2 linked regions of the Saccharomyces cerevisiae S288C genome follow. The protein of the gene in region 2 interacts with the protein of the main gene of each other region in a biochemical or structural test. Each region holds a gene or a part of one and is shown on either strand. Other genes may lie near its edges. The genes, in order: ASR1 and NMD5.

The links.
Region 1: the proteins of NMD5 (region 2) and ASR1 form a complex in vitro, tested with the Saccharomyces cerevisiae proteins (one study listed by BioGRID).

The regions. Positions count from the first base shown.
Region 1 is NC_001148.4:718,934-722,547, forward strand, and holds ASR1 (ubiquitin-protein ligase ASR1), read right to left. Parts: upstream 1,492-3,614; coding exon 625-1,491; downstream 1-624. Other genes in the region: U2 snRNP complex subunit RDS3, read left to right, coding at 1,704-2,027; Arf family guanine nucleotide exchange factor SYT1, read right to left, coding at 2,104-3,614.
Region 2 is NC_001142.9:667,683-673,492, reverse strand, and holds NMD5 (Nmd5p), read right to left. Parts: upstream 3,972-5,810; coding exon 825-3,971; downstream 1-824. Other genes in the region: XPT1 (xanthine phosphoribosyltransferase), read right to left, coding at 1-502; MNS1 (mannosyl-oligosaccharide 1,2-alpha-mannosidase), read right to left, coding at 4,200-5,810. UniProt on the Saccharomyces cerevisiae protein: Active in protein import into the nucleus. Its major import substrate is transcription elongation factor TFIIS.

The sequences.
Region 1 (3,614 bases), on a different chromosome or scaffold from region 2:
AATGCCATCAACATCGCTCCTTTAAAAAATTTGTACACAAAAGAACGATGAGAGTAGACGGCGACCCTTTAACAGATACTAATATGTCCGCCCGGTCGACAACAAATCATCATATCAAAAGGAAAATTAAAAATTCCATTGCAGGCATGAAAAAGATAATAATGAAAGATAAATGCTTTCTTTTCTTCCCTTCCGTGGCACCCCTCATACAAGGCTGAAACTTAACGAAAAAGGGTTGTCGACATGTAGTTAAACCACTATTCAGTCGGAACAATTGGTATATGATTAATAATTTTTAATCATAGGGGAGTCACACAGAAAGAAAATGGAAAAAGAAAAAAGGAACTCATATATTATCTCTTCCAAGGGACCTACTGGTCGCTTAATCTGCCTCTTTGTAGTGCAGTAGCACTCACAATGGTGCTATATTTGAGTTTGTTCAACTGTTTTCTATTGAAGACGAAGAAGCAAACAAAGGAAGATGTGAAAAAAAAATTCTATGGGTCAAACTTGTGCTTTTATACGTCGTACGAGAGATGGGTCACCCGCTTCTGAGGGTTTTTTTTAGGGCTCATACTAGAGTATTATACTGTTTATATCTTGTTTTAATGTTATATTGCATTACTACTCATCATGACAGTAAATTAGGAGTTCTGTGTGCACTCCAGTTCGGGCTAAAGAGTCGTAATCGTACTGGTCAGGCAGGTACTTGTTGTCAGAGAGACGGTACAACTTGCGGGATACTTGCTTGTTGACGTGCTTGTAGGCATCCTTGAAGCGCAGCAGAGGCAGTGGGTACCGGTCCAGTGCTCGTCGCACGTGCATCTGGATTTTGTGCTTGGCATTCCGTATCTGTTCATACATCTGCTGTGTCTTGACGCTGTGCTTGTCCCGTAACTCACCAGCAAAAATCATGGAATTCCTGGAATCGTAGCTAGCAAGTTGGCTACTGATAGCACCCATGCGCAGCTCGAGCAATGCATTTGATCTACAATCTGTGCACTCCTGCCACGTATTGCGATCGCCCACCTCACAAGCTAGCCCGCGTAGACATGTTTCGTGATATATTGCTTCGCAGTCTTGGCAATACAGGCTTAATCGAGAAACATCTGTGTCTCCGCATATGCTGCACTGAATTATCTTAATGGTATCCATCACCAGCGTACCTCTAAGCCTTTCGCTGAGAAATTCTATTTCTTGGTCTTGCTCCCCTGTATCGTCCTCATTTCTTTCGTTAGTTGTTTCGGCCCCCACATAATCGATAGCATTCTTAATCATAAACCCCATCTTCAAATTTATAGAAAGTGCATGTTGCCCTTCGCCAACTTCTAAATGGGTGGATTCAACCCTGCAGATGGGGCACTTCAAGTTGATACTATACTTGTGCCACTCTCTTATACAGTTTAAGTGGAATTTATGCCCGCAAACGTTCAAACATCCAAATTGTTCACCCTCTTGGTCATCTGCCAAACAAATAGGACACTCTTCCATCTTTTTATATGATATTTGGATATTTGGCTGAGGGTATGGTCTCTCCCTTGGCTCAACTCCTTGCATCTTTTTTTCTATTTTTTTTTCTCACTTTCTGTTCTTCCATATATGCATTACTTGCCATATTTCTCACTTACTAAGGCATTCAACATAGAAAATGAAGATGGATACAAAAAAGATCCACACACATACAAGCCTCCAACAAAAAAAACATGTCCCGCCATCAGTTTGATCTAATAATGTGCCTAAAGCAGCCTGGTGTACAGACAGGTCTTCTTTGTGAAAAATGTGATGGCAAATGTCCTATCTGCGACTCTTATGTAAGGCCCAAAAGGAAAGTTAGAGTATGTGAAAACTGTTCGTTTGGTAAACAAGCTAAAAATTGTATAATTTGTAATCTAAATGTTGGAGTCAATGACGCATTCTATTGTTGGGAGTGCTGCCGCTTAGGTAAAGATAAAGATGGCTGTCCTAGGATCTTAAACCTTGGCAGCAATAGACTGGATAGACATTTCGAGAAAAAGAAAAAGGTATAACACATACATATAGAATATGTAAAAATATATAAATAAATAACATGCATTTATAACCCATGGTACTATTTTCTTCCCCTTATTCGTTACTATATTCGTCGTAACTACTGTCGCTCACGCACACTTGCAAACTGTTCTCGTTGAATAAGAAGCTTTCCTCTATATCATCTATACCATCACTATCGTCGTTATTGCCTTGCCCCTCCTCTTCTCCTTTACCATGCTCTAAGATATTCTTTTCAGCCTGCTTGCGAGTCACTTCTTTTATGATACTTACAAACAGCTCGCTTCTCTTAATTTCGTAGATTAACCAGTCCATTCTGACAGCCAGCTGTCTTATGCGGTTTATCATATCTGTCTTAGTCTTTGTGCTAATAGGAACACATTTTCCCATAAGCATCAGAGTGCTTTCAAATTTTTTCAATTTCTCCCATTTGGCTGATTTTATAGACCTAAGTCTTTCCATCCTCTGCAAAATGGTAAGCTTTCTCTTATTACAAATAGTGTTTGCTATACTACCAATTTCCACATAGCATCCGTCATATGCTGAAAATAGATTGATAGAATCGATCCAGTTGTCCCTTTCATACTTATTAGCACATTTCCAGATAAAATTTCGATGACATGTATGTAAGTATAATAGACAATCGGCATTTTCGTCTTCGAAAATCGGATACTCGTCCTTAATGGAATGATAATCTTCATTACTGTCATTTGAACTGAGTTGATTATCTGAACTAGAAACACTATCGTTGTCACTCTCGCCGTTACTCACACTGCTCGTACCATCAGTAGAATTCGTTATGCTATCCTCTTCATCTGAAGATGGCTCGAAGACTCCTTCATTGTGTTTGGCGGAGCTACTTGCTGCAGTTGTGTTGCTTGTATGACTCCCAGTAGAATGATGCTCTGTATACGCAAGTACCAAACTTGCGAAATGAGATTTCCCAAGTGAATCTCGCTCCCTATCAGCAAATAAACCGTTATACACGTCAATCGTACTTCCCGGAACAAAAGAAAATCCTGATTTAAAATCAATTATATAGTTTGTAGTTCCTGATTTTGGGTCCTTCATCATCTGTGGATTTATCCAGTCCATTTTATCGCAGATCAAAAGCCCCAATGATGTTAATATGGCAAATTCCTTTTTCCAATGAATTTTAGCGGAGTTAACAATAGAAAATTTTCTACTGGGCATCCCCAAATTCATTATTGCTCCCATTTGAAGGATTTTGCAATACTTATAATCGGAGTTCTTGCATCCAGACCGGCTATTATCATTCAATATTTCAAAATTAGGTAAATTCAGTTTATTCAATTGACTTTTGTGAAAGCGTAAATACCCACCTTTAGTATCATTCATAATACTATAATATTTTTCGTATTTATGTTCTTCATTTCTCAACAAATTTGCCTTCAGAGCATTCTTATTCCAATATTTTGAGACTTCTGGAAATAGATTTACTTCATTTAATGTATCATTTATAATGTGCGAATAAACGTTAATGTCATCTTGAACTAACGTAGCATTTCCGCTAGAACTAGAGCTTGGATTATATGAAAAATAAGACGATATTGAGTTAGAAGCCG
Region 2 (5,810 bases):
CAGGTAGTCCAGCTCTCTTTGGTTTGTCCTTATTATGTAGAACAAAGATAGAAATAACGGTTTCCTCACTCATTCTATTCAAAACCTTTTGTTGTTCAGCAATCTCTTTTTCCAGCTCAGAAACAGCATAGTGGAGGGTAGTTCTAGTATCGTCAACTTCATCCACAATTAGGACCTTTTTACCAATTAAGGAATCGAAATGTTGGTTCAAAGCACCGAAGTCCAGCCATTGTGTTCTGATGACCTCTTTGCCGATAGTTTCGACGCTATTATCCAACCCTAAATCTTCATACAAAGATAGGCCGATGGCCTGAATCGGAATATTCTTTTGTCCTTTAGTTTTCAAAAAGGACCTAATAATTCTTGCGGGGATCATACCACCACCAGTGATGGCGATAATAATATCAGGTCTTTCGTTTCTAGCTAAGATATGTTTAGCCACTCCCTGACAAAGCTTGTGAATATTATTATAGGAGATGTACATTCTCTCATTTTCGGCCATCTTGGTACAAGTATATTTTGAAGTGATCAATGTTTATGAAATCTAGTACAAGGATGGGCTATGCAAAAGAAAGACTGACAAAACTCAGATATTTTTCTTTCCGATTTAACTACGATTCTTTCCCCAGCTTAGAGATAAAAAAAGCTTGTGATTTTTTTAGGTTCATCGCATTGACTCCAGATAAAAAAAAAAGATCTTGATATCAAATCAAAGTCAACTGGCCGAGGCAAAGGCAACAAACTTTGAGCATAATATCCTCTCTCTTCTATCTAAATTATGTAATCCAGTGTTTGTTTCAATATACAATCGCCATTTAATTCAATTAGGCATTCATAATTCCCATGAATAGTTCTTGATCAGCCGGGGTCAGATGTCTCAAGATTCCCTGATATCTATTGCTGTCAACATGTTGTAAGTTCGCAATGGACTCCTTGAAAACCTTGTATACGTCAACTGTGTCCAGGATCGACCCCGTTAATGGGTCCTCTTCTAGGTCATCGAAAGTTTCCTTTGCGTCATAACCATCTACGAAGTCCAAGGAATCGGCTCTATTTTTTATCAGTTCCAGATATTTCTCAGTAAGGTCTCCCTCGTCATCATTTTCATCATCGTCTCCAACGTCAAGAAAATTTTCATCCCACTTAGTATCCTCTTCAAAACCGGATGATGAGAATTCCTTGCGTTGGTTAGCTAATTGCCTTAACGCCGTTGGTAGCCTCGAAGCTAACTGCGTAACAATACTCCCTAATTGCGGAACCAAATTTTCTAAGTTCAACACTGAATAATCGTTGCTTTCTAACTTCAGTATAATTTTTAATAACGCAAGAACTGATAATTTGATATCATAGCACCTTTTATAATTCGGAATATAGTCTGTAATCCACGTTTGAAAGAAGATTTCAAGACAACCTTGCTGTTTCAGGTACTGAAGCGTGATCAAAGGCTCTGTTATCATATTTGAGATTACGACATTAAAAGCAGTCACACTAAATACAACATTAGTTTTCAATTCATTCTTTTGCGTTAGAATAGAGCCGACAACATCCGCCAGTAGGCGCTCTCTGTATTGTTGAGGTAAACTGTCATCTAATGCAAGAACCAACTCTTGGGATAAATCAAAAACCACTCTAAGATCGTCTAACGAATTATCTTCTGCAGTAACAGCCTTTTGATATATTTCGAATATGATTTTTGTGTAAAACTCGTTCTTCTTTAATTCGTTCCTTCCATAAATGAGGATATTATTTAAGGCTAGCATGAAATCACTTAAATAATAAGATACCATACTATCTGGTTTTCTATTACATTCTCCAATCAGCTCCAAAATTTTCCAGCTGATGGGTGTGATATCTCTTAGTAGGAATGTAGAGTTCTCTACAAATTCGCAACATTCGCGATAGAAATCTTCGATGTCGTTTTTCAAAATAAACTCTGCAGCTGGATAAAATGACTGTTCCAAGTTTTTTAAAATTTCAGGTGAATTCTCAAAAGACAACAGAATAGATATCGTAGTCGACAAAATACCTAGCGCCGCCATTTGCTTGTCAGATTCATCGGGTATGCTATCAACGTTCGTGAAGGAATCTGGATCCAAATTGGATGTTTCATGCAGATCAATAGCTAATTTCAAAAACTGTTGGACCAAAGTGTTCATTAATTCAACACCAAAAGGTTGTAATTGCTCAGCAAACTGCTCCACAAAATCTTGCATAACGCCTGAAATGACATCAGATTCAAAATCATTAGACAAACTTAGTAATTTCTGCATAGTAGGAACAACGTGTTCGGATAACTTCATATTAAACTGGTCATCACTGATAAAAGTTTGCAATGCCAATGCAGCTGTCAATTCTACAGGTAAAGAATTAGAAGAGTTATTCAGACAATTCATAACACCTTCGTAGATAGTAGAGGTTATTACCGGGTCTTTGAAATCCATAGAACCCAACTTCGAACAAATATCGCAAACACGACTTTGCAGAAACCCATACTGAGACTTAAAAAAAGGTAAAACGTATGTCAATATAAACTTTTCCATCTCACTGGCAAATGGAGAATCTTTAGTTATCAAACGGTCAATAATGCTGGAGAATATTCTCAAACAGGACTCAATTTGCAAGGCATTATCCAACATAATATTGTTGTAATCACCAACGGCACTTTGTAAGGTTGAGACCATAAATTCTAAGGTCGGTTGTAAGGTCGTTTTACCGCGTTTCGTCACGCATGTCGTTAGCAAAGCCAGTGCGGCAAGATCTGGGGAATAGCCGACATCCCAAAAGTCCATATTCCGGTTGATATATTCTTGAGGGTCATTGTCAAAGGCCTCCAAAGTCTCTGCAGTGGGCTTTAGTAGTGGGAAAATGACATGTTGAAGTATTACATTGTAGTGGGGCCCAACAAGTTTCCAAGTTGTTTTCTGCACAACACACTGCTCAACAAAGTTCAATATGTAGTATAAGCATTCGTCACTTAACCACAACTGTCCAGTTCCCCATTTCTCGATTTGATCGAAGACGACTTGCAAAAACTGAGTCAAAAACTCTTCACAGTACATCTGTTTAAACTCATCGTACTGAAACTTCCTTGTTAATGACGTTGATGCGTATCTCTGGAAAAGTCTATAAAGGTTTGCAAGAGCCCATTTCTTACATTTGACCCATGGATTTTTACTTCTGACCTCAATATCTGATATAGCCAAAACTTCCTGAGGCAATGGCTGCTGAATGATGCTGACAAAAAAACATGCCCATGGGGTAAACGATTCTGAGCGTTGTAATGTAAATGGTAGGTCATGGTATGAAACGAACTTATAAATTTTAATGATTAATTTTACCAATTCGCCAATTTGCTCGTTATTCATATATTTACCATCTTGGAAAAGGACATTTGCGCCATAGTTTAATAAAGCAGGGAAATAATTTAAAATCAACTCTTCTAAGTCCTGTCTTTCATCATTATTCTTCCACCTATAGGTCCTAAAAATCTCAGCAAGACACAGAAGTCCGACATATGTTACTGTGATGTCTTCATTTGCGAGTAATTCTAAGGAATTTGGTAACAAATTGCCCCATTTTTTGCTAGGGTAATCTTCTGAAATAATTACAGTAAGGGCAGATTTTAGCACTCTGATACAACGCGGGGAGGTCTTGGACACACTGACCATTGTTTTAATTAACATATCTTTTACTACTGGTTTTTCATCCGGATCAACATGTGAATCTAATAATTCATTTGAACCCTGTCTTGCACCAGCAGACCATCCGTATGTAATCTTATTCTTGAAATATAAGGAAGCTGATAATTTGATGTTTTCTGGTACTTCATCAGCAGCAATGATATCCAGGCATGCGCCTAAGAATCCCGGTACTTTACTTGCATTTTTAAGATGTGTTTCTGCATTAGTTCTTACGGCAGCGTTATGGTCCAAAGTACAGGCAAAGCACTGTAACAATTCTGTAATATCCATCGAGAATAAAATGTCTTCGTCAAAATCAAAATTGTGTCAAATATCCAGACGAAAAATGATTGATTATGCTGAAATATATAAATGAATATTGATTCAAATATACTTTTTTGCTGAAGTAAGCATTGCAAATTTTTCATTTTCCTAAACATGGAAAAAATGGTATAGCACATCATCACACCGCATAGTGAATTTTAAAAGGCGAATCTGGCCACTATATAGCACACTAACCTACAACGACCAACCTGTGGTCAGAGACTGCGATTTTAATATTTCTTCGTCTAATACTGGAAAAGGATGAGCTTCTGTGTTGAAAACAACTTTGGTCAAATCAAACTCGTCTAAAAACAATATATATAAATACTTTAAAGTCTCTGCCAACCAGAAACTTTCCATATTGTTAGATTTCTTTGTAGGTAACGTGATACAATCACTTAAACTGGTGAACCGCCTTAATTTTGGGTCATTACAATCAACACAGGTATTTTCAAAGAAGCTAGTTGCGATTTCCGCCCCCCATTCACGATATTTGTGATCATGAGATAAATGATACATGAACATAATCGATTCCACCGTTTCTGGTCTTTGTAGGTTGTGCCTATCGAGTGGTTTAACAAAAAAATCACCCACAGACGACCGCCACCAACCATCCTGTTTTATGTTTCCATCATTGAAGACAACGATTTCAGGCGCAAGCCCCGAGGAAGACTGCTTGTACATTTGATAACATGTGTCAGTTATCCCTTTAGCCAAATCCCAGTCACTTTTTCTTTCAAGGGAAAGAGAGAAAAACGGACGTCTTCGGGCTTCATGAATAGAAAGGCCCTCAGTAGAGCCTGATGCTAACAATCCCCCCATAAAGCACACGAGGTGGTCCATCTTAGGAGAAAGTTGTCCATGTAGACCTTGTTCTCTTTCCCCAATGTACCACAGAGAAGAGGGTTTGGATTGTGCTAATAAATGCTTTTTCATACCTTCCATGGATTTTCTGTACAGATCATAATAAAGTGTTTCGTGCGTCAATAAATATTGTTTTAGTAAATACTCATAAAAAGAATCACCTCTTGATCCGAACCGGATAGTCGAAGCACCAAACTTCCCAGTATCTGGAAATGTATAAATTGGAACCAATCCATCGTAGGTATTTAGAAGATCGTTATTTTTGTATAATGGCTCGTAAACACGCTCCACCAGCTCCCAATAAGTACGATTTCCTGTCAAATACGCCAGATATTTGAATTCCATTTGTAGCGTAGTGAATTCTGCGGTAGAAGATGCCCCCCCATCTGCATGGTTCTTAACCGCTTGGCCACTATGAAGGTTTATACTTGAGTATGGAATTCCGGTCTGAGTGGATAAGAACGCCAAAGCAAGCCTATCCCCCAAATCTATTGCTTTGTTCAAGTAGACAGTCTTATTACCTACTTCTAAAACATCAGATAGATGATATGCGGATAATAAACCACCTAGCATTCTAATAGTAGTTTCAAAAACATTCACTTCGGCATCAATATCAAAATCCAAAACATCGTTTATCCAATGCTCCGATCTCTGAATTTCTGCCTCGAACTCACTTTTGTATAGTGTGGAGGAGTTATACATTAACATCAAGGTATCCACTGAATCTACGATAATCCAGCCTAACGGCTGGTTGCCACGAGGCATATTATGGGAAGTGTGCTCAATAGGTCCATACACATCGTATCCCCAGCCATGCTTGGAATAGTCTCTCCACGATTCCAAGAACATGCTTTCAATCCGATCTCTCATTTCTCCGGCCCCCGGTGACTTTCTCTCAAAGTGTTCGTACCATGGCACATAGTATATAGCTGCTATGATAGC